2 linked regions of the Oryza sativa Japonica Group genome follow. The protein of the gene in region 2 interacts with the protein of the main gene of each other region in a pairwise test. Links are inferred from orthologs where the notes say so. Each region holds a gene or a part of one and is shown on either strand. Other genes may lie near its edges.

Region 1 (3,655 bases), on a different chromosome or scaffold from region 2:
CATATGAATCTTGCAAATAATGGTACAAATCATATAGAATTCCTCTAGAAATGCCCAAATTCAAAGGGAAAACAAGGGATCTTGTGTACCTCATTGTTGGATCAAACCAGTCCTTCATAGTCTGATCAGAATTGTTCAGTCAAATATTGGTACAATTTTTTCGAACTTGTTCAGTCTGTGTTTGTTCTAGATGAACTGCATTCAAAAGTGATCTGTAGACAGGAAGCAACATGTATCAGTAAAAATTTGGTGGAAAATGGCATTTCTACTATGTACTAAAGCTAGTATTATTCCACATGTCCCATTTCAAAGTACCACAATAAATGTTAAAACCTGACGGACCATGCCATTTCCTCTATGTTAACACATTCCCATAGTATAGAAAGGCCGCATGACTCATAGCAGCATGAACAATATCACGTCAATGAAAGAGCAAATAATTTAATTTCGTATTCCTTTATAGTCCTCAAGGGACAAGGCTCATGGAAAACAACAAATATCTCTCCTCAATACAATTGCGTGGGCACAAGTTGACCAAATGTTACACTTATAATACACCCTCCAAAATTATTTATAAGATAGACTAGGGAGGAGGGATGAACTACAATCCTGGGATTAGACTATGCTGAGACTGGTACTTTTATTGCCATCATCTGGATGAGCCAAGGCCTATCAAGGTCTGGATCAATGAAAGAGTGAGAAAGGAAATTCTCCACTTCAACATCAAGCAATTGTCTACACCAAGCCACTCGGTTTGATGGGCGGAAACCTGGCCCTGAGCACCTGCGTAAAAAAAAAAGGGTTAATGCCTTCTAGTAGCTCATGAATGATCGATAAGCACAAGTCCACAGATAATATGGAAGTTTAGTAAGAGAAGAATCTCTGAATACTGATGGTTCCAATACCTGTACTCAAAGAAGCAAGCAGTTCGTTCATTCTCAGATCTGTCCCAATTATGCCACCCAGCAGGCTTAATACAACGATCCATAAAAGTGTGCGCAAAGACAACCCTTCCAAACGGTCCCCAAGGCCGACCCAGGAACATATATCCAGCTTCTCCATTTCCAGTAATAATACACCTGCATGTGTTCATCCGTCCAAGCATCACATCAAGCAAAAGCAAGAAAGGCACATTGAAAATGATCAAGCTTACATGTCAATCTTATTACACAAGCAATGAGAAACTCAAATTTCAGCCATGAACAGCATGGCCTAACGGACTAAGTAAACATACAATGAAACAACTCACCTCAAGAACACATAACCAGTAGTTTCTGATGAGGATTTCCGGCTGTGAGCAGTAATGTAACCCGCTGATTTGCAATGAATATGGCAATGTTCCAACAGGGCAATAGAGTTGCCGAAGATGAAGTCACAGTTACCTTCGATGTAACAGTCCCTTAAGTATTGTTTTCCATAATGTAAATATAATGTGTCCTGAATGTTTTATTCGACAACCTCATAAATTAACAAAAGCTTCGCTGAATGAAACGATTTAATGAAGAGGTGAATAAATGAGCGTACTTGCCAACCAAGGAACCTGCAATTGTAGAAGGCACACCTATCTGCTGTTACTCGGAGAGCAACTGCCTGCCCAGACCCCTACACCACAACAGGCACATCAGCTTTCTGCACCCACTCATCACACATGCATCTCTCTATGCAAGAAGAACAAGTTTGGTCAAAAGAAAAAAGAACAAGGCAAAGACAAGCACCTGAGGAGCTGAGTTCTCAAATGTGATATTCTCTGCGATGAAATCCTCCCCCTCCACAATAATTGTTCCGCATCCAAACGTTCCTGTCCCAATAACCCTGGACGACTTTACAAGAGAAAAGGACAGAATGATTAAATTAAAAAGATAAGCATAACTATTCAAAGTACACAGCACTTAACATCTGCAGTCAAAATTAGGGGGCAGTTACGGACTCGTCTACTAAAACGTCAAATGTTTTTCTAACAAGCTCAAATGTAAAGTTCCTTTCATTGCTTTTGGAGAAGAAGTCTTGTAAACCTCAGTTGGAAGTTCTCTGCACCTACCCCTTCCTCATAAACACATAATAAACTACAGAGGTACAATAATTTAACATACAATTTGCTCAAACCACCTATCCATTCATATTAACATACTCCAAATGGATCGATATGGGGGTGTCATCCGAAACCAGTGTGCTCAGTACACAGGGATATACATAAATAAAACGCACACCAGACATTTCTTAATGCGTCAGTGCCTCACCATCCTAGCTATAGCCAATGACGGGATGAACGAATCAAACAAACAAACCATTCTAAAAGCTCTCCAAATAATTTACGCAACGCATGCTACATACACCAACAATTTCTCGGGACCTGTCAATAATCGGGAAGAGAATCACTAAAATTGTTCAAGGCCATCTCCGAGTTTGGCATTTCATCGAGCAGGAGGCGAGCGTACTAACCTGGGAGTGCTTGATGCGGGTGGCGGTGTTGTCCCAGGTGATGACGGTGGCCTCGGGCGAGCCGGCCTCGCCGGAGAGGGTGACGAGGTTCTTGGCCTTGGCGACGTAGACGGGCTCCCTGTACGTCCCCGGCGCGAGGCGGATCACCGTCCGCACCCTGTTCCCCACCGGCACCGCGTCCACCGCCGCCTGCACCGTCGCGAACACCGCCTCCCCCTCCTCCCCCCGCTCCGCCTCCGCGCGCGCCCCTCCTCGCCCCGGCGGCGCCACGCGGAGAACTCGCCGCGGCTGCTGCTGCGCCATGGCGAGATCGGCGGCGCGGCTTTGTTTGGTTTGGGTTGGCGGTGGCGGTTTCACACTAGCGCGTGGACTGCCTGGGTTGGTTTGGTTTGGGTTTGGAAATTGGAATTTATTATTTATAGGCGTCAAACTCAGGGGGTGTTTAGATTTGTGGCGTAAAATTTTGGCGTACCACATTGGTTATTATATTTATATAGTATGTCATATGAAGTGTTCGGACACTAATAAAAAAACTAATTATATAATTTGTTAGTAAACCGCGAGATGGATTTATTAAGTCTAATTAATCCATTGTTAAATCATGAAACAATTAGACTTAAAAGATTCGTCTCATAAATTAGTCGCAATCTGTATAATTAGTTACTTTTTAGTCTATATTTAAATACTTCATGTGGGATGAAAAATTTTAGTGCGGGAAATAAACAGGCCATGAAGGCGGAGACGGTGCGAATGCGGCAACGCTGACGGTTCAAAAGCGGTGACCCCCCGCCCGCTGGTTATATGTGGGGCCCCGCGATGTCAGTGGCTGCGTTCGCTGACAGGCTGGATTTGAATTTGACTGGACTGTGGTGATGTTGATCCCGCGTTTGGTCTCGTTTTGTCATCTTTTCTTTGTTTTTTGTTTTGGATTTCCTTTCGAAGATTCCCCGTGCCAACTACTGATAGGCTATTTTATTCTTGATTACCGCAGGACCGTCAATGATAAGTGCAATCACTAAGGCTAATCACTCGAGTACCACGTATGATCGGAGAATGATCGACAGGTGATGTTTAATTAAAGGAATTTCATGGAAGTTAAGGCAACTATCATGCGTTTTAAAGTACCTCTTCTTTTTTTTAGGGAAAGTTTTAAAGTACCTCTAATATTGGTAAGTTAGTTTTCACATATACTAGGGTTACCTTGCAGACCGGGGCG
Region 2 (3,753 bases):
GCCGGATACATTGTTCTAGGAGGGAATCACATCCGCTCTTAAGTTAATTTTTTTTTTTTGACAGAGGGAGCATATGTTTAGAACATATTTAGTTACAAAACTATAACGTTAATAGCTCCAACGTGACAATGGTGTTAGGATTTAAAGTAAAAAAACTTATATAGTTTTGTTATAGCTTCAATATTAAATATCGGGTGATTCATAGTTTCCCGATAAATTTAATGTTAAATACTATATAATTTACCTATAAAATGAGTAAAACGGAGGGCCCAGGAAAGAGAAGGCGCCTGTGGCCTAATGGATAAGGCGTCTGACTTCTAATCAGACGATTGTGGGTTCGAGTCCCACCAGGCGTGTCTTCGTTTTGGATTCTACTAATCCTATTGCAACTGTTGCTCAGTTGGATTATGGCTTATAATCGTTGTTTAATTTCAAAACCTGAGCGTAAGTTATATTTGAAAACATGTTTGATCACTAAAGAAATCAGAGGAGCACTAACCATGGTGCATTGACTTTTGCTTAATATTATTTCAACTCAAAATGATTTGCTACACCTTTTATTTTCAAAAATTTACATAACAAATTTTCAAAACACACACACAAATAGAGAAACTGTGCACCATTGGTATTTAATATCCTGTACTATTGGTGTACCTATAAAATTTAGAACAATCCATGCCATCCGTTTTAGGATAACTGTACACGATACATCATTATATATTCATATGGTAAGGAATCGCAAAATTACAATATTATAATCTTGAGAGGTCATAATCAGGAAAAAAACCGTCACCCACACATTGACAACACCAAAACACATACCCGAGAGAAGGCTAACACCAAACCGACTATCACTAGACCAACAAAGTACCTACAACCGAGATCGCTCAAAACCTATCCCTAACACTGACACCAAATCTCACCGGAAGATGTTTTTGGTATAATGGTTCTTTTGGAGCTGTTTTTTTTTGTATATACATGGGAAAGGGAGAAATGAGAGGATGACGACTGTGCTTTTAAGATAGTAATAATGTAACAGCCAAGTATGCCGACCAACTTCGAAAAAGTTTAAACAAAATTTTTAAAACTTGTTGTAAAATTTATCCAGTTTCTCGGTTTTTCACGATTTTTTTGGGGCCATCCTGCCTACCTGCCGGCCCAAAATCCTTCACTCCTCCAGACTTTGCAAAACCTCCCCACACAAAAGAACCAGAGAGAAGAGGCGGGAAGCGAAGCCGCAGCCCGCCACTCGCCTCCGCCCTCCGCGCGCGCGAACCCCTCCCTCGGCGGCGGCGACGACCAAGGCGGCGGCGGCGGCAGCGGCGCAAGAGGACGCGGTAGCCCGATGGCGCCGCTCGTGCCGTCCTCGCAGCCATGGGTGGAGAAATAGTAAGCGCCGCCCTCTCTTCCCCTCCCCCACACCATTTTCCTCCCTCAATTTGTCGATAAGCCCTCATGGATTGCCCTAGTTGCGACTGACTGACCCCGCTGCTCATCCTCCTCCCGTTCGCAGCCGGCCGAGGCAGGTGAAGGATGTCGCGCACCAGGAGGAGGTGGTCCGGGTGCTCACCACCACCCTCCAGACCGCCGACGTGAGCCGCGGGCTAAACCCTAGCTCTGTTTCTTTTTTTTTTCTCTTGTGACCCCCTGGGAGGTTTCTGATTTGTGATCTGGTCCCTTTGCAGCTTCCGCACATGCTGTTCTACGGCCCGCCTGGCACCGGGAAGACCACCACCGCGCTTGCCATTGCTTACCAGCTCTACGGGTAACTCAATTCTTGTTGGCAACTGTTTACTTGAATTTTTCTCTTTATGAGAATCTTGTTTTGGTTCGGTTGAAATTGGCTTATCTTAGTAATCTTGGAAGAGGTGGTAATTCTCAATGCAATGGGAGCATTAGATAGGCTGCGCTGGGGGTGAATCACTTAACTTTTGAGACATTAGAATTGATAACCTTCATTATCTTGGGTATTTTGTTTATTTTGGCAAATATTGGTATACATCTTTGTAGGCAGGCGTTCCAAAAGTGGGTACAATTAGTTTGATGACATGGTTGATCCTAGTCCTGCATATTACAATACTAATCGGACCACTGGATCAATGTGTTTGAATGATGTATGGTGAAATGGTAGTTCAAGTTTAAAATTTGGATTGTTGAAATGTTGAGATCTGTTATAATTTTGTTCACTCATCAGCCATTTTCATTGTTTCTGGGCTAGGTAATTTATTCTTGCATCTCTCACAGGCCCCTTTTTTCTTGTTGAGTTGTTACCACTTCACTTGCTTGATTAGAATCTCACTTGCTTGATTAGAATCTATTCGATGTGTGTAATGGTTCATGTCTTACCAATGATAATTGGAGGCGGTCAGATGTATGGAGGGAAATCTAGAGAATCAAAATTTTCATGTGGAATAGCACATATGAATTAAGGGAAAAAATAATACTGAAACAGTTTGTTAGGAGGAAATTTGATTAGATTGAGTAGTAGCGAAGTTTATTCTCTTTTTTTTTCAACTGATAATGAGCACTATAGTGATTGAGATTATCTGTCTGCCAATTTTGCTCTTCTAATATGGTGGTTACTTCCTAAATTCATTTGCAAGAAAAACCCCATTCTAATCATGACTACTAAATAATGAAATAACATTAAGAGGATATGTTTTCTGCAAATAGTGCAAGGTTGTTCTCAGTAAGTTTGGGACTCATGATAGTTTTTTCGTACTATTTGGATGATGCAGTCCAGAGCTCTACAAGTCAAGAGTTCTAGAACTTAATGCTAGTGATGATCGTGGAATTAATGTGGTGAGGACTAAGATCAAGGACTTTGCTGCTGTTGCTGTTGGTTCTGCACGAAAAGGGTAATTTAACCAAAACTAGGGACCTTTCAGTTTCCATCTGTAGTTGCATTCTTGACTAGTTTGTTTTTGCGATGGCCTTCAGCGGTTATCCCTGCCCACCATACAAGATTATTATACTAGATGAAGCAGATTCGATGACAGAAGATGCCCAGGTATAGACAACAGGCAGAACGCTAAAAGCCTTGTTGCTGCAGAACCGTGCGTTGATGATGTCTTATATCTGTCTGTAGAATGCTTTAAGGCGTACTATGGAGACTTACTCCAAAGTGACAAGATTCTTTTTCATATGCAATTACATCAGCAGGTATTAGTTTGTTTCTCCTTTTTTCCCCCTGTGGATCTTTATTTGAGTTTATGTAATTCATTATCCTAATGTGTAATACAGGATAATAGAACCACTTGCATCAAGATGTGCAAAGTTTAGATTCAAGCCTCTTTCAGAAGAAGTAATGAGCAATCGCATTTTGCATATATGCAATGAAGAAGGGCTCAGTCTTGATGCTCAGGTAACTGTACTGCATTCACTTCAAAATCTAAATCTACATTTAAATATCCGCATTTTTGCTAACACTCTTTTTATTTTTCATAATAGGCATTGGCTACACTAAGCACCATCTCTAATGGTGACCTCCGCCGTGCTATAACCTATCTTCAGGTATGGTTTATCTAGTTTGGCGTTTGCATTATGTGGTTTATTTATATTAATCTTAATTTAATATACCTTTTGTTTTTTGTTGCAGAGCGCTGCTCGCTTATTTGGATCTTCTATTTCTTCTACTGACTTGATTAGTGTTTCAGGGGTACATTACCACTCATTTCTGTTCCCTTGCAAATGCCTAAACTTACATGTGTCATTTATTTTGCTATTCTATGTTTGAGTCTGTACAAAGTCACG

The links. The genes of interacting proteins can lie anywhere in the genome.
Region 1: the proteins of replication factor C subunit 2 (region 2) and pectinesterase 31 interact in binary tests that used the Arabidopsis thaliana proteins (3 or more experiments, as listed by UniProt). The link is inferred for Oryza sativa Japonica Group from reciprocal best matches to the Arabidopsis thaliana genes EMB1968 and PME31.

Annotation. Positions count from the first base shown.
Region 1 is NC_089044.1:14,590,916-14,594,570, forward strand, and holds pectinesterase 31, read right to left. Parts: upstream 2,831-3,655; 5' UTR 2,743-2,830; coding exon 2,440-2,742; intron 1,821-2,439; coding exon 1,716-1,820; intron 1,603-1,715; coding exon 1,525-1,602; intron 1,438-1,524; coding exon 1,250-1,437; intron 1,080-1,249; coding exon 906-1,079; intron 784-905; coding exon 621-783; 3' UTR 426-620; downstream 1-425. UniProt on the Arabidopsis thaliana protein: Acts in the modification of cell walls via demethylesterification of cell wall pectin. Acts in a blockwise manner, resulting in a cell wall rigidification.
Region 2 is NC_089046.1:3,901,218-3,904,970, forward strand, and holds the start of replication factor C subunit 2, read left to right. Parts: upstream 1-1,224; 5' UTR 1,225-1,345; coding exon 1,346-1,389; intron 1,390-1,513; coding exon 1,514-1,592; intron 1,593-1,685; coding exon 1,686-1,765; intron 1,766-2,738; coding exon 2,739-2,858; intron 2,859-2,940; coding exon 2,941-3,010; intron 3,011-3,088; coding exon 3,089-3,162; intron 3,163-3,243; coding exon 3,244-3,364; intron 3,365-3,450; coding exon 3,451-3,513; intron 3,514-3,598; coding exon 3,599-3,658; intron 3,659-3,753. UniProt on the Arabidopsis thaliana protein: May be involved in DNA replication and thus regulate cell proliferation.